2 linked regions of the Arabidopsis thaliana genome follow. The protein of the gene in region 2 interacts with the protein of the main gene of each other region in a pairwise test. Each region holds a gene or a part of one and is shown on either strand. Other genes may lie near its edges. The genes, in order: AT1G20540 and DCAF1.

The links.
Region 1: the proteins of DCAF1 (region 2) and AT1G20540 interact in a two-hybrid assay, tested with the Arabidopsis thaliana proteins (one study listed by BioGRID).

The regions. Positions count from the first base shown.
Region 1 is NC_003070.9:7,104,888-7,119,471, reverse strand, and holds AT1G20540 (Transducin/WD40 repeat-like superfamily protein), read right to left. Parts: upstream 6,862-14,584; 5' UTR 6,821-6,861; coding exon 6,776-6,820; intron 6,701-6,775; coding exon 6,617-6,700; intron 6,518-6,616; coding exon 6,385-6,517; intron 6,278-6,384; coding exon 6,166-6,277; intron 6,034-6,165; coding exon 5,934-6,033; intron 5,828-5,933; coding exon 5,700-5,827; intron 5,521-5,699; coding exon 5,451-5,520; intron 5,248-5,450; coding exon 5,159-5,247; intron 5,057-5,158; coding exon 5,011-5,056; intron 4,801-5,010; coding exon 4,727-4,800; intron 4,638-4,726; coding exon 4,564-4,637; intron 4,483-4,563; coding exon 4,424-4,482; intron 4,323-4,423; coding exon 4,281-4,322; 3' UTR 4,110-4,280; downstream 1-4,109. Other genes in the region: AT1G20550 (O-fucosyltransferase family protein), read left to right, coding at 1,536-1,685, 1,772-1,834, 1,921-2,011, 2,130-2,206, 2,300-2,388, 2,472-2,655, 2,774-3,058, 3,132-3,463 and 1 more; AT1G20530 (girdin (DUF630 and DUF632)), read left to right, coding at 9,095-10,075, 10,161-10,384, 10,463-11,102; AT1G20520 (DUF241 domain protein, putative (DUF241)), read left to right, coding at 11,855-12,550; OPCL1 (OPC-8:0 CoA ligase1), read left to right, coding at 13,616-14,584.
Region 2 is NC_003075.7:15,137,981-15,154,994, forward strand, and holds DCAF1 (DDB1-CUL4 associated factor 1), read left to right. Parts: upstream 1-7,647; 5' UTR 7,648-7,955; coding exon 7,956-8,212; intron 8,213-8,301; coding exon 8,302-8,377; intron 8,378-8,458; coding exon 8,459-8,575; intron 8,576-8,661; coding exon 8,662-8,822; intron 8,823-8,921; coding exon 8,922-9,657; intron 9,658-9,768; coding exon 9,769-9,857; intron 9,858-9,958; coding exon 9,959-10,352; intron 10,353-10,460; coding exon 10,461-11,030; intron 11,031-11,102; coding exon 11,103-11,285; intron 11,286-11,382; coding exon 11,383-11,835; intron 11,836-11,927; coding exon 11,928-12,038; intron 12,039-12,191; coding exon 12,192-13,991; intron 13,992-14,254; coding exon 14,255-14,959; 3' UTR 14,960-15,132; downstream 15,133-17,014. Other genes in the region: AT4G31130 (keratin-associated protein (DUF1218)), read right to left, coding at 396-485; AT4G31140 (O-Glycosyl hydrolases family 17 protein), read left to right, coding at 3,601-3,944, 4,098-5,208; AT4G31150 (endonuclease V family protein), read right to left, coding at 5,927-5,938, 6,032-6,112, 6,209-6,337, 6,513-6,629, 6,740-6,804, 6,889-6,928, 7,039-7,101, 7,205-7,466 and 1 more; AT4G31170 (Protein kinase superfamily protein), read right to left, coding at 15,519-15,858, 15,968-16,866. UniProt on the Arabidopsis thaliana protein: Component of the CUL4-RBX1-DDB1-DCAF1 E3 ubiquitin-protein ligase complex, DCAF1 may function as the substrate recognition module within this complex.

The sequences.
Region 1 (14,584 bases), on a different chromosome or scaffold from region 2:
ATAACCCTTCATAATCATAATTTAATTTGCTCTTTAGTTTGATTTTTCTACATGATCATTATCAATGGTTAATTGATATTTTCAATTTTGAATGCAACATTAATTGATGTTTATAATGAATCGAAAAGTATTTCATATTTATAAATTTGTAATTACAGAACTTATAAATAATCACTAAATAAATTTGTTGTACCTAACAGTCTAACAAATTACGTTGTATAGTATTTAAGAAAAGTAGATGTTAACATTGCAACGAAATGAGTGCACTTACTATAATAAGCCTTCAATCTACAGTATATGGTTGATGAATGACACTTGAAACAACTAAGGTTCACATGGTGAAACTTGTAAGTAACAAGAGATAATCATTTGTAATAGTTCCGTGAAAGCGTAAAGATAAACTTAAAAATCTACTAATCAAATTTGCGTGTGAATTATCTTTTTTTCTCAATCAATACGAGTGCTTAATGACTAAACCGGACCATGACTCGTTTAAACTATAGGTAGATGACCTCAAACCGTTGATTATTTTCTGATTTTGGTTAGGAGGAATACGAATCCAAAATTCCTCAAACCGGCTCACAACATTTATGTTCATCGATTGTGACAACACCAAGCAAACAGAAACTTGTATAAAAGACAGACAAAAGAGTTATACTTTCTTTCTCAGTTCACGCTATTGTTCACTTACACTCTTTAGCAAAAAGTTAAACACTGAAGTAGACAAAAAGTAATTTGAAAATATTCTTCTTTTTACTAATATAAAGATGAAAAAAATAGGGATGATACAAATGTAAAGCCAAAGAGTAATATTTACACCATTATGGAAATTTAGACAGTAATGGTTCTAAAGTGATTTCATTTCAGAATAAACACATAGCTTGCAACTTGCTCTACTGTCAAAATTTAGTTAGTGTTCACAAAATGCTAAACTTATCTCTTAATAATGTCTAGATAAGAATAAAATTAAGCAAAAAAAACAGGAAATTTAACAATTAAAACGAAATAGAGCAAGAAATAGAATAACTTTCATCTTGCAAAACTCTTAAAATCCAGCTCATAGTTTATCACCAAAGTAAAAACAATTAATTTGATTAATTAAGGAGTAATAATTAAAAATAAAATAAAGCTGTTAGAACAACGAAGTGCTGGAGGCGGTGCCTCATTTCTTTCAGAGCCCAGAAATCTATAAGAACTGTCTCAAAACCAAAAAACAATATTCACTTTCCTTTTACAATATTAAAAAATTCAATCTTTCTCTGTTTCTGTATCTCAAGTATATAAAAATTCAATCTTTGATTGAAGCAAAAGATAGAGAATCAACAATGATTATTGTGGTGATGGAAATGTCGTGAAAACCAGAGAAGAATCACAAATAAAAAACAGAACAGACAATACTTTCATTTTGAATCTCTTGAAACCAGTGTGTACTCTTAAAGAGAAAGACTTTTGGTTTTGTCTCCATTGGAACACGAATCTCTCTCTCTCTGTCTGGCGTAGAGACGAAGGTAAAAGCGCCGCGTGTATAGCCTTCAATGGCTTTTCAACGGCGGCGCAACAATTACTACAACCGTCTCCGTCGTCTTCTTCCTTTCATTTGCGCTGTCTCTGGAGCTCTTCTCATCCTCTTCGCTCTTCTCTCCATTCTTTCCCCTCCTCCTGATGATTCCGATCGCCGCATCTCCGTACACTCTCTTTCTCTCTCTCAATAGCCTTGTTGATGAGATTCTGATCTCTGTCTCTTAACGCCATTGTTTTTGTTTGATTGCAGAAGCATATTAACTATGGAGCCAATGATGAGAAGAAGAACACACCAGTGGTTTTCACAGTTCCGGTTAGGGTTCTTATATTTGATATTTTTGTTGCAAAGTCTGTATTTGTTTGCTAATTTGGGTTTGTGTATGTTTTAAACCGAAGCAGAGAGGTGGAGGAAGATCGGATCGTGATATCTGGCGTTCATGGAATGCTGAATTCTTTTATGGTTGTTGTAATGCAAGCAGCAAGTTCCCAAGTGTGTAACTTTATAAAGTTCTTTTGGTGTTTAGAGTGTTTTAGTTTAGAATGCTTGAATGTTTCTGTCATTGAGGTTTATTAGTCACACTACAACATTTTGATTTTTCTTACTGCAGATGCTAAAGCAATTACTAGAAATGATCGATACTTGGCGATTGCCACTAGTGGCGGTTTAAACCAACAACGGACTGGTGTAAGTTCCTTTAGGTTTCTCTGGTTTTATGGTGATCTTTTTGTTGTTACTTAGATCTTGGTCTGAGTTTCACAACGCAATTACTTCTTTCAGATTGTAGATGCTGTTGTTGCTGCAAGGATTCTAAACGCTACGCTTGTTATTCCGAAGTTGGACCAGAAATCCTACTGGAAAGATGCCAGGTTCGTACTAGCTCTCGTAAAAATCAAAACATTATGCATCTTATTTAGTATTAACATACTTTTGTGCTTTTTATATATGCCAGTGACTTCTCGAACATTTTCGATGTTGATTGGTTTATGTCATTTCTCTCAAAAGATGTCAAAATCATTGAGAAACTTCCACAGAAAGGAGGGCAAACATGGAGCCCTCGCAGAATGCGTGTACCGAGAAAATGCAATGAGAAATGCTATATCAATCGGGTGTTACCTGTTCTTCAGAAAAGGCATGTAAGTTTTCCTGTTTTTGTCTCTCAATCTTTACGCTTCTTAGCATCTAAAGGTTTCATTATTTCCTCTTTCTCTATGATGCTTATATATGATTTGGTCTTGTAACTCTTTGTTTCAGGCAGTTCAATTGAATAAATTTGATTACAGACTCTCAAACAAGTTGAGAGATGATTTGCAGAAGCTGAGGTGTAGAGTAAACTATCATGCGCTTAAGTTTACTGATCCAATTCTTGAAATGGGTAACGAATTGGTCAGAAGAATGCGGAAAAGGAGCAAACACTTCATTGCTTTACATCTTAGGTTTGAACCTGATATGCTCGCCTTCTCTGGATGTTACTATGGTGGTGGTGAGAAGGAGAAGAAAGAGTTAGGAACAATCAGAAGGAGATGGAAAACTTTGCATGTATGTATACAAATCTTACTTGTGCAAAGTTCTTCTTATTTTCTTGTTGGATTTAACGAATTTTGCATTGCAGGTAAATAACCCTGAAAAGCAAAGGAGACAAGGAAGATGTCCACTTACACCAGAAGAAGTTGGATTAATGCTTAGAGCTTTGGGATATGGAAGTGATGTTCATATATATGTTGCATCAGGTGAAGTTTATGGAGGAGAAAAATCATTGGCTCCTTTGAAAGCACTTTTTCCACATTTCTATTCAAAAGACACCATAGCTACAAAAATGGAGTTAAAACCATTTTCTTCTTATTCTTCACGAATGGCTGCACTCGATTTCCTTGTGTGTGACGAAAGCGATGTTTTCGTTACCAACAATAACGGAAACATGGCGAGAATATTAGCAGGTCGAAGGTAGTTAAATTAACCATAGCTAATCTTTCTTCTTTCTGCTTCATTTCTGTTTTTAAGGTTGTTAGCTCTTTGTGTTGAATGATTTCTTGGTTTTATGTAGGAGATACTTTGGACATAAACCAACAATTAGACCGAATGCGAAAAAGCTATACAAGTTGTTTATGAGCAAAGAGAATACTACTTGGGAGGAGTTTGCTTCAAGAGTGAGAACATTTCAGAAAGGATTCATGGGAGAACCAAAGGAGGTAAGAGCCGGAAAAGGTGAGTTTCATGAGAATCCAGCGGCTTGTATATGCGAAGATACTGATGCTAAAGTAAAAGCGGGAAAGATGGATTCGAGAAAATTCGGGAAGAAAGAGCAGAAAGAAGATGAAGATGCAGAGTTGTCGTCGTCAGAGACAGATTATGAGGAAGACCAAACTGATTTACAGGACAGAGGCTTGTATAATGGTACGAGGTTAGATTATGATGATGCGTTATCGGTTTCAGAAGAGCCTGAGCTAGAAGAAATGCTATCAGATTGATTCAGTTCAAAGTCAGCTTTTTTTTTATTGTGGTCATATACCTCATCAATGTTATCTGTACATAGAAATCCAATCCGAAGGAATTTTCAGTTTATTTTCTTACTTAGTCGTTGAGTCTGTTTAGGTCAAAGCAACTGAATATTGATACCGATAGAATCTTGGTGAATGATAGATAGATACATCAGGATCCACAAAGATTGTGTCAAAAGTACATTGTTTCAAATACAATAGTGCCAACTTTACCAAAAGATGGGTCGTGTCTGGGTCAGAGCAAAAGAGATGCTGGGTTTTTACTATATTCTTGGAAGGAAAGGCTTGACGGATTCGATGATGACCTAACATTTATATACAAGCAAGATTAATGACCCCGAAGCTCTTTAAATGAAGTTTAGGTTGATCTTGTGCTGAGTATATGGGGTAGAGAAAGTTTACTTACTCTTCCGTCATATGATAATGATGCAAAAACCCAAGGCTCACGTGAACTCCAAGCAAGGCCTGTGTTGTTAATTAAACAGTATTAAGTATTTGTTCGGTTCACAAGATAGAATGGTAATCATAAGGTGTAAGGGATTTTACCATAGACACTGTCTTCATAGTCAGTGTATGAGTTGAGCAACGGGTTCACACGCTGTCGTGTGGATTCCACAGGACTGAAAAAGATGGTAACAATGAAATCACAACAGTGTTGGCAAAAAATGAAAATCATCGGTGCAAGGATGTTTAGGAGATTTGAAATAACCTTTCTGAGGTTTTGTCATCACTGGATGTTGCTGAAGCATACCACAGGTTGACAACCGAATCTGTTCCAGCGCTCTGTATTTTACTTGAATGATTCAGAATTGACACAAATTATAAGCGTGCAAATTAAAAGCAGAGGCTTTAGTTTTTCTAAGCTAAACCATAGGATGTACCGAAAATAAAACTGCACATTTCAGCTAAAACAACTGCGACTGACATACATAGCTACCAAGTGGAACGTTTTGATTGTGTTCAGAAGAACAAAGGAGAAAGAGAGTAGAGTACCAGAATCAGTCCATCATACTCAGGGTTACACCTGACAGCCCAAGTCCTGTAAAATTTGACAAAAAAACATACAAAGGCACAAATTCAAGGATCAAGTTCTTGGTTCCTTTAAAAAAAGGTTTACAAAGGGAAACAGAAGCAAACATACCAATGTGTATGACCAGGAAGCTCTTGGACAGGAACCTTGGCCTTCCGGAGATCCCAGACATGTATGCCAGATTCATCCTCTGCAGTTACCTACATAATCGAATGTTTGATCCATCACAGCAAAGTTATGATAATATTTTTAAATCAAAGGTTGAGCTCCATAACAATTCAGTTCAGCTCAATGCTGATGTAGAAAACGACCTGAACGGATATGCACAGCATATTTATCTGCACACCATTCTATTCAATAGGGTACTGCGCAGTGCTTTGGAGTTACAAGAGAGGAGTCTTACAAGTATATGTTCTCTCTTGGGATTGTAATCAACACCGCGTACATGAGCATGTTCAATTGAGTTAACCTTCCTTTGTTGGGGAAAAAACATGGAGAAAGTCATGTGACGAGGTAAAACCACAAGCAACTAACACTAATTTGAAAATTGAAAACCCCCATCAGAGCATGTTATAACGTGTGTGAATAAAATCAATGCGTAAAACCTCCTAACTGCATGCAGCAACAGAGGATAGCAACAGTGATACCATACTTCATAGTACGCAAGTCCCAGAACTGAACAGATGATTCACCCGTTGCTGCAACAGCATTTACATCATGTGGATCCCATGCTCCACCAGATAAAGAATGCAACATCCCAGCTGAATCCTTAGATAGAACCTATATAAATCCAAACCTGTTTAACCGAAATACCCTACAAAAGATCTAAATACTTGAGAGATAAAAAAAAAATGAGGTTGTCACTATATTCTAGTAGCTAAATCACCTCAGCAGACTTTTTCGAACAGTCTAAGCTCCACAAGAAAATATTTTGTTCATCAATGCTGATTAACTTGTCACATCTTCCAGAAGGCCACCAAAGAACACTGTTTCCACCAGAGAGAAAAATTGAGAGTCAGCTTCATAAGATGATTGAGGATAAGAAAAAAATAAGCTCTTAAACACTTTTACATAACTGTTAGCAATAGAACGCTGAAAACGTTTGATCATAAACTCACCAATTAATCTTACCAACATGAGCATCAAGAGAAGCAACACGCTCCAATTGTGGAGAATTCAGTTGACCATATAACTCAGGAATTTGCCATATCGCTGCTCCAAACGATTCACCTTAACGGATAAAACCATTATCAGTTTTTGACACACTCACGCTATAAATCAATACAAAGACCAGAGCTCCAAATTCTTGCTAATCAACTCAAGACAAGCGAATTTACCAGTGGAGAAGACGGTGGAGAAAATGCGTTGATCAAAAGGGCAAGAAGCAAGGTCCCAAATCTCATTAGGATGAGAGAACAAACCCTCACATATAAGCTCAGATCCACCAGATGACAAACGAAGAAGATGAACCTTAAAAGCATCTCAAATGGTGGAGAACAAAAAACGAAAACTTTCAGTATCTTCCCGACTAAAATAGAAGACGAAATCAAAATCAAGACATGGGTTCACCTCATTTTCTTCTTTTAAACTAAGAGTTCCAGTGAGAAAGCTTGTGTAATCCGTATCGGCTTTCACATCCGATATACATCTAGACTGAAACAAAATGAATTCCGTCTTTAAAGAATCTTCCTAAGGAAAATTAAGGAAAATATGAAGATGATGAATCACCTGATACTTCAAACCGTATCCAATACCCGATGATCCTCCTTGCATTGTCACCTGAGCCAGACGCACTGATTCAGGTAGAGAAGACGACGAGCTGAAGCAGATGCTGGTTTTCGTGTTAGTGATAGACATTAATGGGCCTAACTTAATAAAGTCAGGCCCAATCTCTTATGTTACAATTTCACTAACTACTCAGAGACATATACATATCAAATTTCTATAAATTATCACTACTCACTCTAGTATATATGTTACAAAACGGGTCAATGGAATTAGAGTCCCATAGATGTCTATTAGGCCCGGTCATAGTTACAACGTTGTTTGATCACCCAAAAAAAAGGCATAAAATCATGAATCAATCACCAGAAAAAAGAATGTTATCATTACGTTTGTTAACGACGTCTTAGTAAAGCCACAGATAGTACGTGATGCTTTCATGATTTTATGACCGTTACTTAACAATGATGTGTTTTTTGAGTATTTTTGCGAAGCCATGCAATGCAAGTAACATTAGAATTGACGACTAGGAAATGTTTGTCAACCAACGTAAAGAAATATGAAAAAAACTGACAATAGCATATTAAAAATCTCCACAACCGCGCACAGCCAGAAAACAACGACTATTAGTTAAACTCTTATATAATCTACAATAAGTTGGTTAACAATGTAATGTAAAACAGAGTATAAATATAAGAAAACTCCTAACTACGAGATTATTAACCATTTCTCTTAGAAAGGTTGAACGATAAGTGACTTTTTCTATTGATTTTGTCGAAACTTCAATGTGTCTGTTCGCGTTCATGTAAGACTCTAAACTTATCGTGGTTTTGTTAATATGGGTATATTCTTGAAGGAAATAATGTTTAGTTGAACTGATTTTAATACGCGTGGGAATATCCTATGATAAGAAAGGTTACAAAAGTAGTGATAAGAAGACAAAATATGAGAAGGTGGATCTCCACCATCCCCAAAAAAGAAACATTCCTTTCTTTTTTGTTTCACCCAAAAACATTGATAAATTTTTCTTCTATTAGGAACTAATTAAAGATCCTCGTGTATTCTTTATATATGGAAGTTTTCGCTTTTTTCGTCTTATCTTCTCAAAAGCCGCAAACCCAAAAAGTTCCAACTCTCACTCTTAAAGTTGAGGATTTTTAAGTTAAGACGTGTGAAGACGCTCGTTCATGCACATCTCTATCTGAAAATGTATTTATATTGATAATTATCATGGTAATTGTAGACAAGAATTTCATGGTAGTTATATGAAACAAAATCATGTTTTTAGTAGGGTTTTGTGGAAAATGTATTCATGGTGATCAGTAACTTGCTACAACTAGAACATACTACTGATTAAAAATTATATTTTGTGTATATCTTCATTAAAATTGCAATATAATGTTGAAAGTAGAAACTGATATTTTCTGTATGGGTGGAGATGGCTTTGTTGGTATAATATATAGGCATGGGAGTAAACTATAAAACTAATATGTTTTCTATCTCTGGATATTATTTGCTAGAATAGTACAAATTAAAGAGAAAACAACATATTCATTCTATAACATAGTGAGAAGTAGGAAGATATGAGATATGATCAGTGTGGTAATGTATGGATTTATATCTCGAGTTATTGACAAAACTTCATTTTACTTGTGTTTGAAGCTAATCGTGAGTTTTGAGTTCTGAAAAAAGGGGATTAAAATATGAGTTTGGTACCTACAACATGTGCATGTACTTTTAGAGCATGATTTCGTTATAAATTTGTTTTTAACACTTTACGTTACTTTGAATCTCAAACCTTTTTTATTTTAACTTTTCACTTTTTAGCTTTAACTTTTTAACACCACGTCTTTTTCCACTTTCTATGCTTCAATGATTCACAGAGTAGAATAATTGCATGGTTCCTTGCAAACTTCATTTTTATGATTTCTAACGACGATAAATCAATGCAAACGTTTCAAAAAAAAAAAAAATGCAATGTTAATCGTGAATAGAAAAAAATAGATAATTGCAACGTTTATAGTACTATGATTACTAGCTAGTTTCCAAATTGAAGTTTGGTTGCATGTCCCTTCCTAAAAAAAAAAAAGAAACGGCTCTCTTATTCGAATCATAATCATTTATTCATATGTGGAAGTTGTCAGTACTCTATGAATTTTTCCTTTTGAAATGTAATTGCGCTTTTACTGTTTTAAATTTGGTAAAATGTGAAATTAAGTGATCATTTTTAAGTTTTTAATGATACCTTAACCTTAATCACGTAATCACTTTTATATGACAACAAATCCAAGCTTTTGAAAAAACACTAACTCTCCAACGACCGTTATGGGTTGCTCCCCCTCCAAGCTCGACGGTTTACCGGCCGTATCTCTATGCCGTGACCGCTGCAGCTCACTCGAAGATACGCTCCGGCGAAGCTACGCCTTAGCCGACGCTCACTCAGCTTATCTCCTTTCTCTGAACACCGTCGGTCCAGCTCTCCATAGATTCTTCCAACATGCCGTCGAGTCTCCGCCGGATGTTGAATCCGAAGCTGACGAATCACCGGAGACGTATTCTCCGGAATCCTGTTCCTCGGCTCACTCGGTTACCAGTTCTGATTCCGATTTGCCTCCCAAGTTCGATTCGGATTGTGAGGAAGGTGAAGGTACGAATTGCGATCTCTTAAGCGGTTCAAAACCTGAATCTCTAAATCTTAATCATGACTCGTTCTACTCCCGGAGATACGAATCCGGCACCATAACGCCGCCTCCTCCACCGCCGGCTCCGAGTAATTACGCTTGGGATTTTATCAATTTCTTCGAGAGCTATGAGCTTCCGTACACTACGGATGTCAATGATTTGAAGGATAGAGAGACCACTCCTTCTCATGAAGAAGATAAGTTGAAGAAGAAGAAGATTACTGTGAGCCAAAACGATGAGAAGATTAAAGTAGAAGAAGAGAAAAAAACTCTGAGAATCTCAGAGAAAAATAGGAAGCGTGCTCCTAAAGAATCAAAGGATCAAAAAGTTTCATCAGATTTATCTGAAGTAACAAAGCAATTGCAGGAAATGTTCAAGAAAGCTTCAGAATCAGGGAATGATGTTTCGAAGATGTTTGACACTTCCAGATTCAGATACTACCAGAAAAGCTCTGTTTATCAATGTAATGTTCGAATTCTTCTTCCTTCTTCAAACATTCTCTACACGAAGAAGGTGATGACTCCATTTGATCCCAAACCAGTGGAAGAATCTAATTTCAATAATCTTTCATCTACTCTGAAGAAACTTTTCATGTGGGAGAAGAAACTGTACCAAGAAGTAAAGGTATAATCAAAATGCTCTGAATGGATTGAAGCAAAATTATCTAAGTGTTTTATGTTCCTTAAGACTTTTGATTTGTTATTTACAGGCTGAGGAGAAACTCCGAACATCTCACATGAAGAACTACAAACTATTGAGGAGATTGGAAGCAAAAAGTGCAGATCTAAGCAAAATCGAAGCTATTCGTTCTTCGATTCAGTGTTTGTCTACAAGAATGAGAGTTTCTATCCATAAGATAAACAACATTTGTCTGACGATAAACAAGTTACGCGATGAAGAGCTCTGGTTCCAAATGAAAGAGTTGATCCACAGGTACTACGGACATTACCATAAGAATTTTGTTTGAGAAATCTCATGAGTTAACTCAGCTTGTTGTGTCTCAATATTTAGGTTGTCTGAGATGTGGAACTCTATGCTAGAATGTCACAGTAGACAATCTAAAGTAATTGCAGAGGCTAAGAAGCTTGATAAGATGACAATAAAGGAGAATCTAGACTTATCTCAGCTTGAGCTTGCTATGGAATTGAAACTGGAGTTGAGGAACTGGAGTCTAAGCATGTCGAACTGGATAGATGCTCAGGCTCAGTATGTTAAAGCCTTGAACAATTGGCTAATGCGATGTTTAAAACAGGAACCTCAAGAACCAACACCAGATCTCTCAGAAGAGCCACCATTGTTTGGTGCTATTAACACTTGGTCACAAAACCTTGAGATATCACACGGAGAGAAGGAGTTTACAGAAGCGGTTTACACGATTTTGATGCACGTAAACCATCAGGTGGAGAAACAGAGGATGGAATTGGAAGAGCAGAGGAATGTTAATGGCAGCGTAAAGGATATAGAAAGGAAGCTTATGATGTTAGAGAAGGAAGAGCAGAAGATGCAGAGGAAGATGAAGACAGTACCATCTGTTGCATTAATGGGGAGTTTAAATCTGAAGTCTAACATGGAACAGATATTCAAATCGATGGAGAAATTAGCTACAAACTCAAAGCAGACTTATGAGGAACTTGACTTGATGTGCACGTAATGTACGGCTTTGTTTTAGTTCTCATCAGTTCTGCTATCTATCATTTATTCTATGTGTCCTTGGAAGAGTTTTGAATTTTGCTAAATTGAAAATTTTGATTATGTACATTCGACATATATCTATAATCTATATGTATACGCCGTTAGTGATCTTTAATAATAAGATAGTACATTCCAATCATGAACATGACTCTGTGTTTAGTGTTTAAAAGGTGATGAATTCGACAAACTATTAAACCAACAATACAAAAACAAAATTCTGGAACATTTCAGATATAAATAAATAATTCTTCCGTTTTATTCAGATAATTACAAACACTGGCTGGCTTGGTTCATGCATGGTTTCTGATAAAGGTATCCGATTATAATTTAAATTAAAATTGTATTTTGTTTTGTTATGTAGACAATAATATCGAAGCAAATCCATAATGTAGCCTAATCTAGTGCCACTTACATAAACGGAAGGTTCCTAAATACCACTAACTTCAACTAGTTTGAATTTGAAAACTAAATGACCTGTCTCCAACACTAATGTCTTCACTTATGTACAAAAAAAAAACACCTCGCAAAGAAAAGGAAAAAACTAACCTCAGGGTTCCTTCTTCGTACTTTCCTCATTCTTCTCAGATCCATCTTCAACTCCAATTCAAACAATCCCTATTTATGGACGTAACCCTAAGATTTCACTAAACCCTAATCACAAATCTCTCATCAAGTTCTCATCAAGCAATACCCTTTTGAGGTTTCAACCGAATGGCGCTACTGGACTTGGAAGGTTTGAGAGAACTACAAGACTGCGCAAACTATCTTCTCGATCACTGTCCAGAAGCAAGAGAGTCTCTGTGCCAACAAGGGAAAGAGAACTGGATCGAGCAAGTCTCTGAAGCTTCACTAATAATGTTAGATGTCTGTAATGTGTCGAAAGATGTCATGGCACTCGTGAGACATGGCCTGCAAGATCTTCAACTGACTCTGCGCTGTAATGGATCAAACCTTAGTGAAAAGGTTGCAGCGTATAATCGGTATAGGAACAAGCTCAAGAAGGAAACGCTCAAGTGTTTAAATAGTCTAAAGAGTATTGAAGGAGGAGGGAGAGGGATGATGGAGATGCAGAGCATAGAGCAGAACCTTCTGTTTGTTGCTGAGGTTTTGAAAGAAGTGAGAAGAGCCGTTGTGACTATGGTTGAGTCTCTGTTCTCACTCGTATGTGTTCCTTGGCTCGAGAGAAAACCGAGCATAGGGTCATTTTCTTCTATCTTTACGATGCAGTTTTGCTGCTTTGATGATGCGTGGGACGAAGTAGCGATGCGGAGCGCAAGTACAAGGTTGGAGGCTGCAGAGATCACTGTTGAGGAGCTTGAGATCGAGTTGGAGTGTATTTTCCGGCGACTGATTCAGACCAGAGTTTCACTTCTTAATATTCTTACAGCTAAAACATCTCCGGTTTGATACGGATACCACTTCTGGAAGACATCAAACAGATATATACCTGTAAAAATTAGAATTATAAGCAAATACAGAAATATTATCGTCCTACAAAGTCAAATACACGTATTAAAAGTAATTTCCTCACAGTCTCTTTATTTCGACAGAAAATTTTGGTCAGAATCTCCTCACAGTTTCTCATCCATTGTTTATTATTGCTCAAAAAGTGAATGTTATAAAACAAAAAGACACACCAGTGGAAATACAGACATTACCTAGTGATAATCTCTAAGAGAAGGGCAATAACACAATTTAGCCAAGAAGGAGGAAGAAACAGAAACCAAACCTTCAAATTACGAAACAGAGGAACAAAAAAAAACGAACAGAGTCTTACCACCATCTCTGTGCAATGTGCATGATCAAGAACCTAAACTCATTAGTAAACTAAATATAAGCATTCACAAGGAGTTCATGGGAAGATAAAAACTGTGTGATAGCTTTGGCAATTATTCAATTACAACTACAACTCAAATTTTTAAACCAAGTCGCATTACTTCTTTGATCAAAATGTATGAGAAACAAAGATAAATTGCCTCTGATCCTGATCAGTTCCTCTTATTATCAAATTGATTCATAAATCCAAGGTAAGTAGTAATCACCCGAATTCTAGAAACATATCCCTAACATGCTCAATTACAGAGAGACAAAGAGAGAGAGGTTCACCGGAACCCTACCTTCCGGCTTCACATTTCAGTCAGGCAAGCGCTTGCTCTTCTCCCAGTATAGCAATCCTACCCGGGTGATTCAGTTCAAGCGTGTGTGAATATCGATTCGGCTCTTTGGGCTTTTAACTAAAGGCCCATTATAATCTAAAAGGGCTCCACCACGTCATTTTCAATTCGTTAATTGAAAAAACATATTCTTCACGTGCCGCTAACAACGACCTGGAGAATTGGAAATATCGCGGAACAAGAACGCCAACGTGTTCTTCGGCTGCTTTAGACTTTTCTTATTATAAAAAGTCAAACCTCCTTCTCAACCATAAATTAAATTTCCACTGTAGTGTCAAGTTACATAGAAACAAAATCCATGGCTTCAGTGAATTCTCGAAGTGGTTTCTGCAACTCAAACTCAACATTCTACAGCAAACGAACACCAATCCCACTCCCGCCAAATCCATCACTCGACGTCACTACTTTCATTTCTTCACAAGCTCATCGTGGCCGTATCGCCTTCATCGACGCTTCCACAGGTCAAAACCTCACCTTCACCGAGCTATGGCGTGCCGTGGAATCCGTCGCCGATTGTCTCTCCGAGATAGGGATTCGCAAAGGCCACGTCGTCCTCCTCCTCTCCCCAAACTCAATTTTATTCCCCGTCGTTTGTCTCTCCGTCATGTCACTAGGCGCAATCATCACCACCACGAATCCACTCAACACTTCAAACGAGATCGCTAAACAGATTAAGGATTCAAATCCAGTCCTCGCCTTCACCACATCGCAGCTTCTCCCGAAAATCTCCGCCGCCGCAAAGAAGCTCCCGATCGTGCTTATGGACGAGGAACGAGTTGACTCAGTGGGTGATGTGAGAAGATTGGTGGAGATGATGAAGAAGGAACCGAGTGGGAACCGAGTCAAGGAGCGAGTTGACCAGGATGATACGGCGACTTTGCTTTACTCTTCAGGAACCACGGGAATGAGCAAAGGAGTGATCTCGTCTCACCGTAACTTAATCGCGATGGTTCAAACCATCGTGAATCGATTTGGATCTGATGATGGAGAGCAACGATTCATCTGCACTGTTCCTATGTTTCACATCTACGGTTTAGCTGCGTTCGCTACTGGATTACTCGCTTACGGATCTACGATCATCGTTCTCTCTAAATTCGAGATGCACGAGATGATGTCAGCGATTGGCAAGTATCAAGCCACGTCTTTGCCTCTCGTGCCTCCGATTCTTGTGGCGATGGTTAACGGTGCAGATCAGATTAAGGCTAAGTATGATTTGAGCTCTATGCATACTGTTTTATGCGGCGGAGCTCCGTTGAGTAAGGAAGTG
Region 2 (17,014 bases):
TCATTAGATACAATTATGAAGCTGTGAGAAGATCACATTTTTTCATACAATCCAACAATATCACAATATCAGAGTCATAGTCCTGTGACTAAAACAAATTTGACATCCTCCATTCACAGAGAATAGCACAAATAACAACCAAAGCATCCTAAAGAAACAGGAAATCAAAACAATTGATTCATCCATAGTTAGATCACTGTTTGATACATACAATTCCAGAGTGATTATTTCCTGTGCAAAAAAAAAACTAACTTGCGCCAAAAAGCAACAGGAATTGTTTATGTGGTAGTAGTAGATAAACACAAAGAAGAAGAACAAAAATCATCATCGAAAACAAACAGGAAATTTAAAGTTTTCTCACGAAATAATCAAAAGGAGACGACTTTTTTTTGTACCTTCTTGTTCTCGGCGATAACTCCCAAAACAAAGGATAAGACGCCCAAAGCAGAGACGACCAACGACATTTGTTTCATACTAACCGCCATATTTGTTGTATCTTCTTCTCCGTCTAACCTTAACCTATATAATATATCCGAGAGCACACAGATATCAAATTCGATTTCCCCCAAAACATAAATCAGATTTGAAAATCGAATCAACGAACAGAGTCGGAAAAATCGAACTGTAAAAGAAAAACACTCACCGAGACGACGAATGAATCTGGAGATTTGTGGCTTCAGAGAGATAAGAGAAATCGGAAGATATGGTTAGTTAGGTTGCTTAGTTTTGATTTTGGTTTAATTCGATCCACTTGCACTGATAATTCGGGGATGAGCCCTAAAAAGTCTCCGAGTGTTGTTGTTGTTTTGGGCTCTTCAAGATTCTGTTGACCAAAAAATAAAAGATTCCATATTTATCTTCTTCCACATGTATTCATCATCTTATTTTTCTTTATAAAAAAATCTACGTAATAGAGATTTTCAACTGATTTACTTCCTCATATTATTTTTTATTCTGAATATAGATATTACTATAATTTACAAAATAAAAATATATCTTGATCGTATAATTATTTGGTATAAAATATTATCTTCCCACGTAGGTATATAATTTACCAAAAATAAGTTTAAGATGGATTTACCAAGAATCCAATATTATTACTTGCGATACTTTATATGGGAAGTAGAATAATTGGATATGATATTGGAATTTCTTTTTGGAAAGTACATATTGAAAATGTTCATTATCGTATGAAGCAGAACTTAAAGACTGGCTGGGATAGTTAGTACTTTTGAGAAATGGGATTATCGAATCTTTGAAGATAATCTGATGTTGTATGTTCCAAAGAGTCTGTCGAGTTTTGTATGCGGAAGCTTTCACTGTTGTAACACTTTGCAACACTTGTTCTTTATAAAATGGTAACACTTATGGGGATATTTAAAAAAACAAAGATAGCAACATGTTTAGCTTTTATAAAAATGTATTATTTGAACGATACCAGGGAATCAGGATGCTAGATGCATTATCCGGTCGGTGAACGATCGTGACACCCAAGCAACAAATATACAAGACCAAAATTGGCCACGCTCTCTCCTCTACCCCTCCAGCTTTACTTGTCCTTATCACTTCCCTTTATCATCTGAATTAATTTCATCTCATTGATGCTTCTCTATGTATAATGATCCAACACAAATAAATCAATCAAATCAAACCAACCGATCACTTTCTCTTTTTCACTCATAATCATTCCAAGCATGATTTTAAAATGGGCTTTTGTTGTCTCTCATAAAAGGTGATAGCTATTCGCCTCTTCCACTTTCTTCTTAGATTGTTGTAGTATAAGTTTAAACCTACGACTACGAGTGGATAAAATGGTTTTGGTTTGACTTATTAGGTTTAATCGAGTACGACAAGTGGACTTGTGACACTTGTCCAACCGATACTTCTTATCTTGTGTTTTTGTGTTTTCTCGTCTTCTAGATCACGTTTTGGCATATTGAATTTATTATATAAGAATAAGATTCGATTGTTGAATTTTTAATAAGTATGGCTTTGTTATATTACACGTAAGAATTGAAAACATTACTTGATCAAAGAAATAAAAGATTTTATGTGTGGTGACTGATAATGTTGTTGAGGAAGATCAGAGTCATTAATGCAGACTCAGTGACCAGTGGACAATCTTGTATAAAGAAAGACATTACAGAGTTATATTCAAAAACGTGGAAAAGTATGCATTACCTTCTTGAGATGGAAATCTTAACAAAAACAAGCTTTTAAAATTGAGTGCATGTCCAAGTCATTTTTAGATTTGGTGTTTAGTGCTTCAATATTTCACAATATCCAAAAAACTCATAAAAAGATTTCAGAGATAGACCAAGAAAAGTTATTTGAGTCTCTAAGAAGGGATTGACCATTATTCTTAATTATACTATTTGATGTTTCAACTCACTTCCAATATGAAAGTCTTAAACATAATCATATTATAGATATTAACCTGTGAATAAAATGCCAATCATCCAACTCTCAAAAATATAAATGGGCCGAGAATGGGCTCACACAGTAAGGGAGAGTAACGAGAGAGGCTTGAAGGAGAATAAATGTTACTTCACCAACCGGACCTGCCGACCTCTTTCATTCTCTGTTTGACTCACTATTCCTTCACACAAAAAAGGGAACATTTAAGTTTTTTTACATTTTCATTCAACTTTAATTCTGAGAGCATCAGGTAACACTGCTCCACAATCTTTCAAAGATTCCTCCTTTTTTTGTTGTTCTCTCTTTTTATTTGGCTTACACGTCCGCTTGACCTCACCCACATGCCCCTGCCTCACATCAAACCATCTTTATTTCGTAATAGCTAAATCTTAGACAGGCAAAATCTATCAAATTTTAGAAAGTACTATTCAAAATTAATACTCTCTCATGTTACTACCATACTTGCTGATTATAATAACTGTAAACTATAACAAAGATGGTAAACCCAAATCTATATTTATGATTGATTAATTATTTTAAAGTATATATTGATGATTTTTTCTTTATAAATTATCATGATTGCCGTATCGTATAATTAATAGATTTGAGTGGTATTGTGAAGAGCTACTACAGCTAAGGAAGTAGACAACACCTAACGTAGTAAATTAAAACATTAACGTTTCTCTTTTAGTCCCTTTTTTTTTGTTAATCGTTTTCATAATATTCTGCTAATTAAATTTCGATTGGGGGTACCAATCAAAAAGCAAACACCGCCTTTCAGGTCACTGGGACAGACAATAAAAAAACCTTTTTCGTTTATGTTCCATGTCTGAAATTAAAACATTTTCAAGTCTCGTGTATTTCAGATTCTCCATCTTAGTTCTTGTAACCTCTCCCTCTTCTTCTCCAAATTCCACCTGAGAGAAGAGAACTTATTCCACCCAAAAAGCAATAATATATAGTACCGTACTTTGATTTTTTCGATAATCTGTTGATTGAAGTTAAGCCAAAACTCAGCTCTGTTCTTATTCTTCTTCAAACCCAAGTTTCCCACTTCACTGATTCTTTCATCTTAGCTCGTTTTAACCACAAAGTTCAGTTCTTTTTTGGTGTGTTTCTTTTTCGTTATTGGCTTTTGCCTTTTTTGGGTATAGGGTGTTTACGATTTATCTCTCGGTTCCGATGTTGTTCAAAGGTGTTTTTGCTGTCTTTTTCGTAATCACTTTGTTGTACGCAAGTTTGTTAATTGAAGTTGAAGGGATTGGTGTGAACTGGGGCTCACAGGCGAGGCATCCCCTACCTCCGGCTACGGTGGTGAGGCTTCTCCGAGAAAACGGTATCCAAAAGGTGAAACTTTTCGAGGCCGACTCTGCGATTCTCAAAGCTTTAAGTCGGACAGGGATTCAAGTTATGGTCGGAATCCCTAACGACTTGCTTGCTCCTTTAGCCGGTAGCGTTGCAGCCGCTGAGAGATGGGTCTCTCAGAATGTATCTGCTCATGTCTCCTCTAATGGCGTCGATATCAGGTTTGTGCTTATATCTCATTGAAACAACATGTTCTCTTTGTTTGTTTTGATCAAGAGCTTTGGAAGAAATGATTTTAGAACCCAAAGTTCCAGTCTTTAGATTTTGATCTAAAGCAAAGAGATTGAAGTTAGTTGGTTTGTGTTTGAATTTAGGTATGTGGCAGTTGGGAATGAGCCTTTTCTAAAAGCATTCAATGGAACATTTGAGGGTATAACTCTACCTGCTCTTCAGAATATACAATCAGCTATCATCAAAGCTGGTTTAGCGACTCAGGTGAAAGTCACAGTGCCTCTTAACGCAGATGTGTACCAAAGTGCGTCTAATCTCCCTTCGGATGGAGATTTCAGGCCTGAAATCCGTGATCTCATGTTGAACATTGTTAAGTTTCTGAGTGATAACGGAGCACCATTCACTATCAACATTTACCCTTTCATCAGTCTCTACAACGACCCGAATTTCCCTGTGGAGTTTGCTTTCTTTGATGGAACTGGTACTCCGATAAACGACAATGGAAGAATCTACGACAATGTTCTTGATGCAAACTACGATACACTTGTGTGGTCGTTGCAGAAGAATGGGTTTGGGAATTTGACTATTATTGTTGGGGAAGTTGGGTGGCCAACAGATGGAGATAAGAACGCAAACTTGATGTATGCCAGGCGGTATAATCAAGGTTTTATGAACCGTCAAAAGGCTAATAAAGGAACACCTATGAGACCTGGGGCAATGGATGCTTACTTGTTTGGTCTTATCGATGAAGATGCCAAAAGCATTCAGCCTGGAAACTTTGAAAGACACTGGGGGATATTTTATATTGATGGACAGCCTAAGTATCAGCTCAGTCTTGGCAGTGGTAACGGGCTGATCCCTGCAAAGGATGTTCATTATTTGGCTAAGAAATGGTGTATTCTTGCGCCAAATGCTAATCTTCAGGATCCTCAGTTGGGACCAAGCGTGAGCTACGCTTGTGATCATGCTGATTGCACCAGTCTTGGTTATGGCTCCTCTTGTGGTAACCTGAATCTAGCACAGAATGTTTCGTATGCGTTCAATAGCTATTACCAGGTAAGTAATCAGCTCGACAGTGCGTGTAAGTTCCCGGGTCTCTCTATAGTCAGTACTAGGGATCCTTCTGTTGGGAGTTGCAAATTCAAGATAATGATCAAGTCAGAAGATGCTAGTGAAGCAAGTGCCATGATGCCTATAACACGATCAACGGCAGTGCTGCTACTTCTCTCCATCTGTCTGTATATTGTTCTGTGAATACTGAAGAAAATTTGATGGGTTTGATTATTTCTTTTTTTCCTTTTTTCTTTTGCAAAACTTTTGGTGTTTATGGAGAAACAGAAACTACAGTGAGATTTATGTATTACTTGGTTTGATCTCTTATTTCTCGAGAGCAGTTTGGTGTTCACTGTCTCTCTTATACCTCTCTTGTTAGTAATCAGAAAATGATAAAAATCTCATCTTTCACTTTAGCTGTTAAAGCCCAACCCGAAGTTTCAAACATTACACCTTATATTAGTTAAGCAGGTTTGCTGCAAAAGAGGAATCCATGAGGCTTCACTGCTGTGAATCTGTCCACCATTAACAGTCTCTTAAGATTGAGAAACGATTGTGCTGTCTTAGAGCATGAGAAACGAGTTACAGCTGAACCAAAAGAAATACCAAACCCAAAGCTATAGAATTGTTTGTCGAGAACCCCAAAATCTCCCAATATACAGTGCCCAAACAACCAAATTACCAGTTGCCTAGCCTTTCTATTTACACTTGTTTAAGGTATGTATGGAAAGGAAATTCCAATGTATCGGATATAACATGATTACCTTGGTTAGCTTGCAATCTTCAAGTCAGTGAGATAAATGAAGGAGATAATTGGGGCGGATCTTCAGTGCCTGAATCTGTCCATTTAACAATCTTTGGTAAAGACTTTGGAGAGTTTCTATGTAATGTGGAATAGTGTTCTTGGTTGCTTGAGGGATTAAGGTTCAGTCTGGTAGACAAAAAAGGAAGCAAAGAGACATGTGAGCCAGTACGAAAAAATATGACAATGGTTAGAAATGGCGGAGAAAACATCAGAAGTTACCTGATCCGGTGGTCGCACTGCCAGTTCTTTAAAAGACTCAGTTTGATGCTTCTGGAGATATGCTCTTGATCTAATATCTGCCTGCATATAGTAAACTGTATACTTAACGACTCTTACTTTTCACTTTTCACATATCTACAGGATAACTTTCTGTTTGTTGGTAAATGCATCACTTACCTGTCTAATAGGTTCTGGAACACGGTACTTGCAGGTTATCTTGACAACTTCAACGGCAGAGTCCAGTGATATGCGATGGCCAACCGATACATATATGGGCTTTAGAGAACTCAGAGTTGGCCTAAATCCCTGTTGAACGTAATATGTAAAACTTGATCATTAAATTCACTATCTTACACAAGATTATCAAAACCACAACTATGGAGAAGTTTCGTTGCTAAAACTGATAAGTCACTACTAATATAACGCGGTATTACCAAAGAGACACAACAACTACAGTAGATGTTCAGTCAAAGTCACTTACTACTCCCCATGTAATTCCAGAGTTTCCTACCAAAGTGATAGTTTGCTCATGCTCGTTTATTTGGAGCTGAAGCGACTGTTTAACCTCAGATTGATTCAGACCATCCACATGATGCAGCTGAAAATGTTACAACATCATAAATTCCACATTAACGATCAGATGGAAAATGCAAGGCAAAACAAAAATAACATCACAAATTTCAGAGCTTGAGATTCTGAAGACCGTACATTCTTTCCGACCCCAATGGTTGGTAGGTGAGCAAGAACACCTAAATGACACGCCAAGCCAAATCCTATAGAAGACAATTACATCTAACACCATAATTACAGAGCTTGAAATGCAACTACAAAACAAAGGTAAAGTTGTGTGTTTATACCTCGTGGATGAAGTATTCCATTTCCATCCACCATCAGTACCTTTGCAAGAGCAAAGCAAGAGACTTTTAGAAGAAAAAAAATCAACGCAAAAGCAATGGTTTAAGAGTAGCCAATTGCAAACTAAAGCAACTTATAGATAAAACTGAAACCTGAGGATAGAATGGATGCTTCTCATCTCTCATCTTCTGCAGAATCTGCAAAAGAACCGGAGCCTGTAACATGAAAAATCCAATTTTGGGATCTGAGATACTTTAGTGAAGCAAATGAATTTAGCAGAGCATTGCTCGGGGACACGAAGTAGTAGGAGAAGGAAACCTCACGAAAGGCAAGAAATCCAGGGACATAAGGAACATGGAGGCGGAGAAGAGAGAAGTCATGGTGGACTACACGGAGAGAAGGAAGCTCAAGAACGACGAGACAAGCGCATGCGACGGAAGAATCTTCTTTGCAAAAGCTCATGTCTACACCTCCAACATACTTAAGTATCTCCGATCCCTGAGACAGTTCCGTTGATGAAGATAACTTCCATGTGAAGTCATCGTACGCGATCAGTTTCTTCTTCAGCTCATCCTGCTCTCTGAAAGAAGTCAAACAAATCATCAACCGATTTGATTGTGCGGAATGAAACTGAAATCAAATGTGAAACTACTCTGTCCACTTCTCGAGCTGATCTCCAGAAGAAGAAGACTCGCTTGAAGCTCCTTCACTATCCATTTCCAGAAAAAGTTCAGTCGCCGGAGAGGAAGTTCCTAATCGGAACAATTGAAAACGACGTCGTAGTTATTGACAGTAAAACTATGGGCCTTTAAAAGGCCCATTATTAAAAAAAACTATGGGTTAGGGTTTGTTTAGTGAAAGAAACGGGTCGGGTCATATTTTAGTATGAGTCGGTTCAGCTTTGTCGTCTCCATCTACCACCCTCCTTGTTCTGCTGCGTTTCTTACTCTACAACTATAAGCTCTTTTTTCGTTTTCCCTTTCAATAATTTCTTTTTCTTTTTCCGTGATCCCAACGTTTGAATTGATCGCCGTTTCTGGGTTTTTCTTTTAAAAGAGAGGTATTCATCATGGACGGGCAAGAGCATGCCGAGGTCCCTAATTCGATGGTTGAGGATGACCAATCAGTTGTTGCGGCGGAGGCGATTGCAGAGTTGGCGAATTCAACCGGCGAACCTAATCCTGAAGAAGGAGAAGAACAGAGTGTTGAAGACGAGCTTATAGCGAAGGCGCAGAAGCTTATGGAAGATATTACTTCCGTTGCCAATAACCCTAATCCTAATATCCTTCACGCTCTTAGTCAGCTTCTCGAATCTCAGGAGTCTCTGTATGTTCCTTTCTAGCTCAACAATCAGTCTCTCTTCTTGATTTTCTTTTGTAGTTGTCTTTAGTTTTGACGCTTACTTGTATTCGCAGGTTCTTAGAGGAGAATGGGCATTTCTCCAATGCTCGTGGTAGTCATAACAGTGGCAAGCTGTGTATTCTCATCCGAGTAAGTTTATTTAAAAAAAGATTGTTCTTTTTTCTCTTGTGTGGGTTCTTTCTTCTTATTTTGTTACTTGATTTTTGGCAGGAAAACGATGAGTTTTTTGAATTGATATCGTCGACTTTTCTATCTGAGAATTCTTACTCAACCGCAGTAAAGGCAGCCTCTGCAAGGTTGCTAATGAACTGTTCGCTTACGTGGATGGTAAATTTTTTACTACTTTCTTTCTCTTTACCCTTAATTGGATGTCTTGTTTGTTGACTCATGACGCAATTTTTCTTTTTTTTCAGTATCCTCATGTTTTCGACGATGCTGTAACGGAAAACTTTAAAAATTGGGTTATGGAAGAGGCAGTCAAGTTTCCTGGTGAAGACTCTGCCAAGAAGGAAGCCTCAGATTTTGAAATGTTAAAAACTTATTCTACAGGACTTCTTGCTCTCTCTCTGGCGAGGTATTGATTAAACATTCTCAACTTGTTGTCTCTTCTTCCCATTTTTGCAACGCCCACAGCTGAAATTGTAACATTTTCTTTTTGTGTGACTCATGTAAGTCGTGGGCAAATAGTTGAAGACGTTTTGACATCAGGACTATCTGCTAAGCTTATGCATTATCTTCGAGTACGAGTTCTTAAAGAGCCAAGCACAAGCCGTATACACACAACTGAGACTAAGCACGTCTCCTTAAAAACCAAAGAAGAAGGTCGAAGTAGGGTGCGTAAGATTGTGGATACAGTTGAAGGTGACCATGTTCTTGAGACGGACTCCGGAAGAGAGATGGGACAAACTGATGTACAGCCTGATGGCGAATTCGAAATCGATGGCAGAGATGTATTTAATGTTTCAGGTGTTGTTGATTGTAAAATTAAACCTGGAGATGACAATAGTGTTAGAGATGACCCTTCAAGACACAGACTGAACCGATCAAAATCAAGGGGGAGAGGAAGGGTTCACGAAGGTGCACCTGATACAGAAGTTCTCTTGGCATCTCCTAGATTAGGTCGTCTACTTGTCAGAGATAGGGATCTATCAAAAATTTCAGATGGCAGAAATGCAGAAGACGTGACCGTATGTCTTGGGAAAATGAAGTCTGGTATTATGGAGATAGAAAGAGAGGATAACGATGAGTGCTTTCAAGGTTGCATAATAGGAACTAAAAACATAACTGATCTAGTAAAGAGAGCCGTTGGAGCTGCTGAAACCGAAGCTAGAGCTGCCCATGCTCCTGATGACGCAGCTAAAGCAGCTGGCGATGCTGCTGCAGAGCTTGTTAAAACTGCTGCTTTGGAGGTATGTTTTTCTTTTTTTGCTTAGCTGTTAGTGATTTCATTTCCCTAATGAAACGGTGGATTAGGGTGACCTGATATTTATATTGATTGTCTTTTCTTTTAAATTATCCAGGAATTCAAGTCTTCTGGCAGTGAAGAAGCTGCTGTGTCTGCTGCTACTCGAGCAGCTATTACAGTCATAGATGCCGCAGAGGTTTCAAGGTTGGTCATGCTATGATGTCGTGGATATTATCGTTGCTGTTTATCAATTATTTATCTCTGAGTTGTTTAGGGCTTTAACTCTGCTATTTGGTTGGTGGCAGAAATCCTACTTGTGTCACATCTGATCAGACAACGGATGTTAGTGAAGTTTCCCTTCCAGATATCGAATCATTGGCTCAGTTACAAGAAAAATATTGCATCCAGTGCCTTGAGATACTGGGAGAATATGTTGAGGTTCTCGGGCCTGTACTCCATGAAAAAGGTGTTGATGTATGCATTGTGCTGCTGGAACGTACATCCCAGTTAGATGATCGTTCGACAGTGTCTCCTTTGTTACCTGATGTCATGAAGTTAATTTGCGCTTTGGCTGCGCACCGGAAGTTTGCAGCAATGTTTGTTGAACGGCGTGGCATACTAAAATTACTTGCTGTTCCAAGGGTCTCTGAGACTTTTTATGGTCTCTCATCTTGCTTATACACCATTGGCTCTCTTCAGGTAATAATACAGCAAATTTGCATGACTTTAACACAATTTTGGTTCACCGTCAATCGTTGACTTAGTACAAATCCTGCTTCTTCTTACCTTCAATTTTTTTTTTCTCAGGGTATAATGGAGCGTGTCTGTGCACTTCCATTGGTTGTCATACATCAAGTTGTTAAATTAGCTATCGAACTTCTCGACTGTTCCCAGGATCAAGCCAGAAAAAATTCAGCTTTATTCTTTGCTGCTGCTTTTGTCTTCAGAGCCATTTTAGATGCATTTGATGCTCAGGATAGTTTGCAGAAACTCCTTGCAATTCTTAAAGATGCAGCCTCAGTTAGAACTGGTGCTAATACTGACCGATCAGCTCCTGAAGTCATGACGTCCTCAGAGAAGCAGATGGCTTTTCACACCTGTTTTGCTTTACGCCAGTATTTTAGAGCTCATCTCCTTTTGCTTGTTGATTCAATCCGTCCTAGCAGAATTAGCCGGGGTGGTGTGCCATCTTCAATGAAGCCTAATATAAGGGCAGCCTATAAGCCCCTTGACATCAGCAATGAAGCTGTTGATGCCATCTTCCTTCAGTTACAGAAGGATAGGAGGTTGGGTCCGACCTTTGTGAAAGCTCAGTGGCCTGCTGTCAATAATTTTTTGGCCTCCTCTGGACATGTTACCATGTTGGAACTTTGTCAGGTAATGTAGCATTTTACTCCACATGTACATTGTTTTGTCTACCATCTTTTAACATTATGTTCACATGCGCAGACTCCACCAGTAGATCGTTATCTGCATGATCTTCTTCAGTATGCTTTTGGGGTTCTTCACATAGTTACATCAATACCTGATGGCCGCAAAGCAATTGCACATGCCACACTCAGCAACAATCGTGCTGGCATTGCTGTCATTCTGGATGCAGCAAATATTTCCAACAGCATAGTAGACCCTGAGGTCAGTAGTCCGCTTCTATCCATTATTCACATGGGTTTTGTCTTTCTTCTTCTGCTTCTCATTGATACTTACCTCCTTCATGTTTTCTTTATTGAAGATCATCCAGCCTGCACTAAATGTCCTAATCAATCTGGTGTGCCCACCACCATCATTAAGCAATAAGCCGCCCCTTGCACAAAATCATCAACCTGTTCCTGGCCAAGCCACTACCCGTCCCTCTACTGATGTTGCTGTAGGTACTCAGTCCACTGGTAATGCTCCGCAAACTCCTGTTGCACCAGCATCTTCAGGTTTGGTTGGGGATCGGAGAATTTTCTTAGGAGCAGGAACTGGTTCTGCTGGCCTTGCTGCTAAGTTGGAGCAGGTTTATCGTCAAGCCCGTGAAGCTGTTCGTGGGAATGATGGTATAAAAATTCTTTTAAAACTTCTTCAGCCCAGAATATATGTAAATCCTCCTGCTACCCCAGATTGTCTACGAGCGCTAGCTTGCAGGGTACTTCTTGGTCTGGCTAGAGATGATACAATTGCACAAATACTGACTAAACTTGAGGTAGAATAGCAATTTTCTTTCCCCGTTTATATATTGTGAAGTTGAGCAGGCATCGTTGGTGATATATATTGACTTCCCAAGCATTATTCTAGGTTGGTAAGAGTTTATCAGAACTAATTCGGGATTCAGGTGGTCAGTCAAGTGGCACAGATCAGGGGAGATGGCAGGCTGAACTTGCTCAGGTGGCGCTTGAGCTAATAGGGGTAATCATCTGAAATTGATTTAATTTTCTTGTTTAATGTGTTTATATGGGGTTCTTTTTGTATGCTTCATTAGTGATAAGTGTTTTTTTCATTCTTTGTTTTTCTGTTGAAGTTTTGCGGATATTTTTAATTGTGTTTTATATGTGTTTGTAGATTGTGACAAATTCAGGGCATGCAACTACACTAACAGCCAGTGATGCTGCTACTCCAACACTGAGGCGCATTGAAAGAGCTGCCATTGCAGCAGCAACGCCTATAACTTATGATTCTAAGGAGCTTTTACTGCTTATCCATGAGCATCTCCAGGCATCAGGTCTTGGTGATACAGCTTCAGCACTGTTAAAAGAGGCTCAATTAACTCCTCTACCTTCATCGGCTTCCCCTTCTTCTATTGCATATTCCACTACACAGGAGATGTCTACGCCGCTAGCTCAGGAACAATGGCCCTCTGGCCGTGCTAACAGTGGATTTTTCACCAGCAAACCCAAGGTCTGTGCACATGACGAAGATCCAAATTCTAGATCTAATGCAGCTCTATCTGCCAAGAAGAAGCATTTGGCTTCCTCGACACTGGAGATGCCCACACCAGTAGCACAGCAACAATGGCCATCAGGCCGTGCTAACTGTGGTTTTTGTCCCAGCATACCCAAAATCAATGCACGTGATGAAGATCCTAGTTCGAGAGGTAACGCAGCTCCATCTGCAAAGAAGAAACAGTTGACTTTCTCACCCAGTTTTAGTTCGCAGTCAAGAAAACAATCTTTCTCCCATGACGCTCTACCTCAGTCTACACAGAGAATAAATTGTTGTTCGAATTCAGATCCTGCTTTGGCAGATACATCAGAAACTGCTGCAGAATTAGTTTTGAAGAACGACCTTGATGCCGATGCTCAATTTAAGACCCCGATTTCCTTTCCAAGAAAACGGAAGTTGTCTGAGCTTAGAGACTCGTCAGTTCCGGGTAAAAGAATCGATTTGGGTGAGCGAAGGAATTCAACCTTTGCGGATGGCTCAGGTTTGCAAACACCAGCTTCAGCTTTAGATGCCAACCAATCTGGGAGTTCCAGACTGGGCCAAATGACACCTGCTTCTCAGCTACGGCTTCCAAGTGATCCCCAGCCTTCAAATCCAGAACGGTTATCACTAGACTCCCTTGTGGTTCAGTATCTAAAGCACCAACACAGGCAGTGTCTGGCTCCAATCACAACTCTTCCCCCTGTGTCTCTCCTACATCCACATGTCTGTCCTGAACCTAAACGGTTACTTGAAGCTCCACTAAACATGACTGGCCGTCTTGGGACCCGTGAGCTTCAAAGTTTCTACAGTGGAGTCCATGGGAATCGCAGGGATCGTCAGTTTGTTTTCAGCAGATTCAAATCTTGGAGATCTTTCCGGGATGAGACTGCTCTCTTTACATGCATTGCACTTCTTGGCGGTACTAATCATATAGCAGTCGGTAGTCATGCTGGAGAAATCAAGATATTTGAAGCTAGCAGCGGTAGCATGCTTGAGAGTGTCTCAGGTCACCAGGCTCCGGTTACACTTGTTCAGCCGTATGTCTCTCGTGATACTCAGTTGTTACTTTCTTCGAGCTCCAGTGATGTACAGTTGTGGGACGCGTCTTCTATAACTGGTGGGCCTAGACACTCCTTTGATGGATGCAAGGCTGCAAAATTCAGCAACTCTGGGCTACAATTTGCAGCGCTTTCTTGTGAAGCATCTAGAAAAGATGTTCTTCTATATGACGTACAGACCTGCAGCCCTTGCCAAAAACTCACTGACACAGTCACATCCTCTCGAAGTAATCCCTATTCTCTTGTGCACTTCAGCCCTTGCGATACACTGATTTTGTGGAATGGTGTTCTCTGGGACCGCCGTATCCCCGAGAAGGTCAGACGGTTTGATCAATTTACTGATTATGGCGGAGGTGGGTTTCATCCTTCTAGGAACGAGGTAATGGATAAATCATATTACTTTTTAATCTAAATTATGTGATAATACCAAAGCTATGAAATTGTCATTCCTATTCTAGTTGACCAAACCCTAGAACAATCCACTCCCTTAAACAGTCGAAGACAGCTTTATAAAAGTCCCTCACTAACTGCTCCAGAACCATTTCACAACAACTTCAGATATTCTACATTAACTCCTCGGCTACAATATAGATAAAAAGTTACTCACTGTTTCTTGGCTTTTCAACATGTTACTTATTACAGGTGATCATAAACTCAGAGATCTGGGACATGAGGACTTTCAAACTTCTTCGGAGTGTACCATCACTGGACCAGACAGCTATTACGTTCAACTCTAGGGGAGATGTTATATACGCAATGCTGAGGAGAAACATCGAGGACGTTATGTCAGCGGTTCACACACGCCGTGTGAAACATCCCTTGTTTGCTGCTTTCCGCACTCTTGATGCGATCAACTACTCAGACATTGCCACTATACCTGTAGACCGGTGTCTTCTTGACTTTGCCACAGAACCAACAGATTCGTTCCTTGGGCTGATCACAATGGAAGACCAAGAAGATATGTTTTCCTCGGCCAGGATGTATGAGATTGGTAGAAGGAGACCAACAGATGATGACTCGGATCCCGATGATGATGATGAGACGGAAGATGAAGATGAAGATGATGAAGAAGAAGATGACCTGGACCGAATTCTGGGACTAGCTGGAGACAATAGCGATAGTGGGGATGATGACCTTAGCAGCGAGGACAATGAAGATAGTGTGAGCGATTTTGATGAAGAAGCAGATATTCTCATTGACGGTGACTTTATGGAGGAGCTTATAGAAGGTGAAAATGAAGACGATGGTAATGGTGAGGATGAGGATGATGATGACGACGGTGAGATGCAGGATTTCATGAGCAGTGGGGAAGAGGATGATTATAGAGACAACATTCGTTCTTCCTAAGTTTTTTTTTGTTTTATAAATTTTATTTACTTCTGGGCTCTCTACAGATCACTAAGATGGATTTTTACTATCCAAAATTTTGATGATAAGTTCTTGTATTATTTTTTCTTTGTTCAAGTTCCATGTCTCTTTGATTATCAGTAATCATGATTTCTCTTGTCCCACATCATAAGAGAATCCATTGATGCACAGAATTTAGAAGAGACCATGGTGATGAAGATAATGAACGTAGAGTTCTGAAAGGAGAAAAGTATGCATCATCAAATTCAAGGAAAACTAAACCAAACACTTGAGACAATCACCGTACATCTAATTTTTTCGTTGTTCTTTCTTAATACAAAAATCTAGAAAATCAGTAGTCTAAAATGGTTGGGTTACTTCTCCTATCTTGAGAAAAGAGATACAATCGGATATATATATATAGATAGATAGATACACACACAAACTTACATATATCTAAAGCCCTTCTTGCTTTCTCTCTCTCTCTCTCTGTTTTTTTCTTTTATGTTCTCTTCTTTGTTCATTCCTCTTCTTCTCCTCTCTCTTTCTTCACAACAGATTAGTCGACTGTCATTGGTTGCGTCATGCAACATCTGAAACGGGCTTTTCTCACATTCGTCATTATCTCAGTTTCCGCCGCCTCCAGAAGATTGACAATCTCTGCAAAACAAGGACGGACTTCAGGGTCCGCATCCCAGCAACGTGTCATGATCTCTCCAAGCACAGGAAGACAATCTGCTGGGACTGTTGGACGGACTCCTCTGTTCACCACTGCAAATGCAGCCTGAACCGCCGTCATGTTCTGGAACGGTAACAGACCTGTAATCAACTCCCACAGCACGATTCCAAAACTATACACGTCCACTTTTTGAGTGTAGGGTCTGTGCTGGATCATCTCTCTGCATCGATCAAAATAAGGGAATATAGTGTCTAAATATGACTTGCAGAGATATATAAGGTTATTAAGGACAAGACAAGGATGGAAAACGAGATATTTATTCAACTTACGGTGCCATCCATCTGTAAGTTCCAGTCTCTGGTGTCATCCCTTCGGTTTGAACTTCAATTCTTGCAACACCAAAATCAGCAATCTTGATGGACCGATCAGCTGATATGAGGAGGTTATCTGACTTTAGATCCCGGTGTATAAAGTTGCGCTCATGGACGTAAGCCATACCCCTGGCAACATCCAACGCCTGCATAACAGCTAACTTCAAAGGCACAGCTCGGTTTTGTCTCTTAGTCAGAAACTGTCTGACAGACCCTCCTTTTGCATATTCAGTCACGATGCACCACACCATCGGTTTAATGCACGCACCAATAAACCTAACGATGTTAGGATGCTTCAAAAATGCAAGCATAGAAACTTCCTGCTGAAACTGCTGTTCGAGGGCTTGTGCCTTTTCAGGGTTGCTATCTGACCTCTCGAGTAGCTTAATGGCTACATCTTCTCCGTTGTAAGTCCCTCTGTATAACTTTCCAAAAGCCCCTTGAGCAAAAGCAGGACCCATATGTAGTTTCCTCAGATCTATTGTCCACTCTTCATAGTTCACCAGTCCCTCGGTTGGATACTTACTATCCATCAACGCTTGTGCTAAGGCATCATCGTTAAGTGCATGAGTAACTTTTCCTGGCCGAAATACGCTTTGGCCATCCGAGAGAGAGTAGGGATGGCGCATAGGCTTCAAACCAGGATGGCCAATAAGAGCATCACTCGAACCAACGCTACTGTTATCGACAGACATTGACACAGACCCTCCAGCATTACTTGTCTGCATACTGTCAACAGACATGTTTGTACCTTCTTCCCCGAGCTTTTGATAAAAGTCTTGGGTGAAGGCATAGTAATTGTTGTCGTTGTTGTGATTGCCAACAGCGTGCAAATCGAACTTTGGATTCTCAAGCATCCTTTCCAATCTCGTGTTGAGTGTAATGTATAATGTCTGACCGAGCTGCAAGTCACATGTAAATCGCTTTCAATCACTTCAACATGCACCTAAAGCAAATATAGACCATAGTAAAGGAAACAAAAGAAAGGATATGAGAAATCACTAT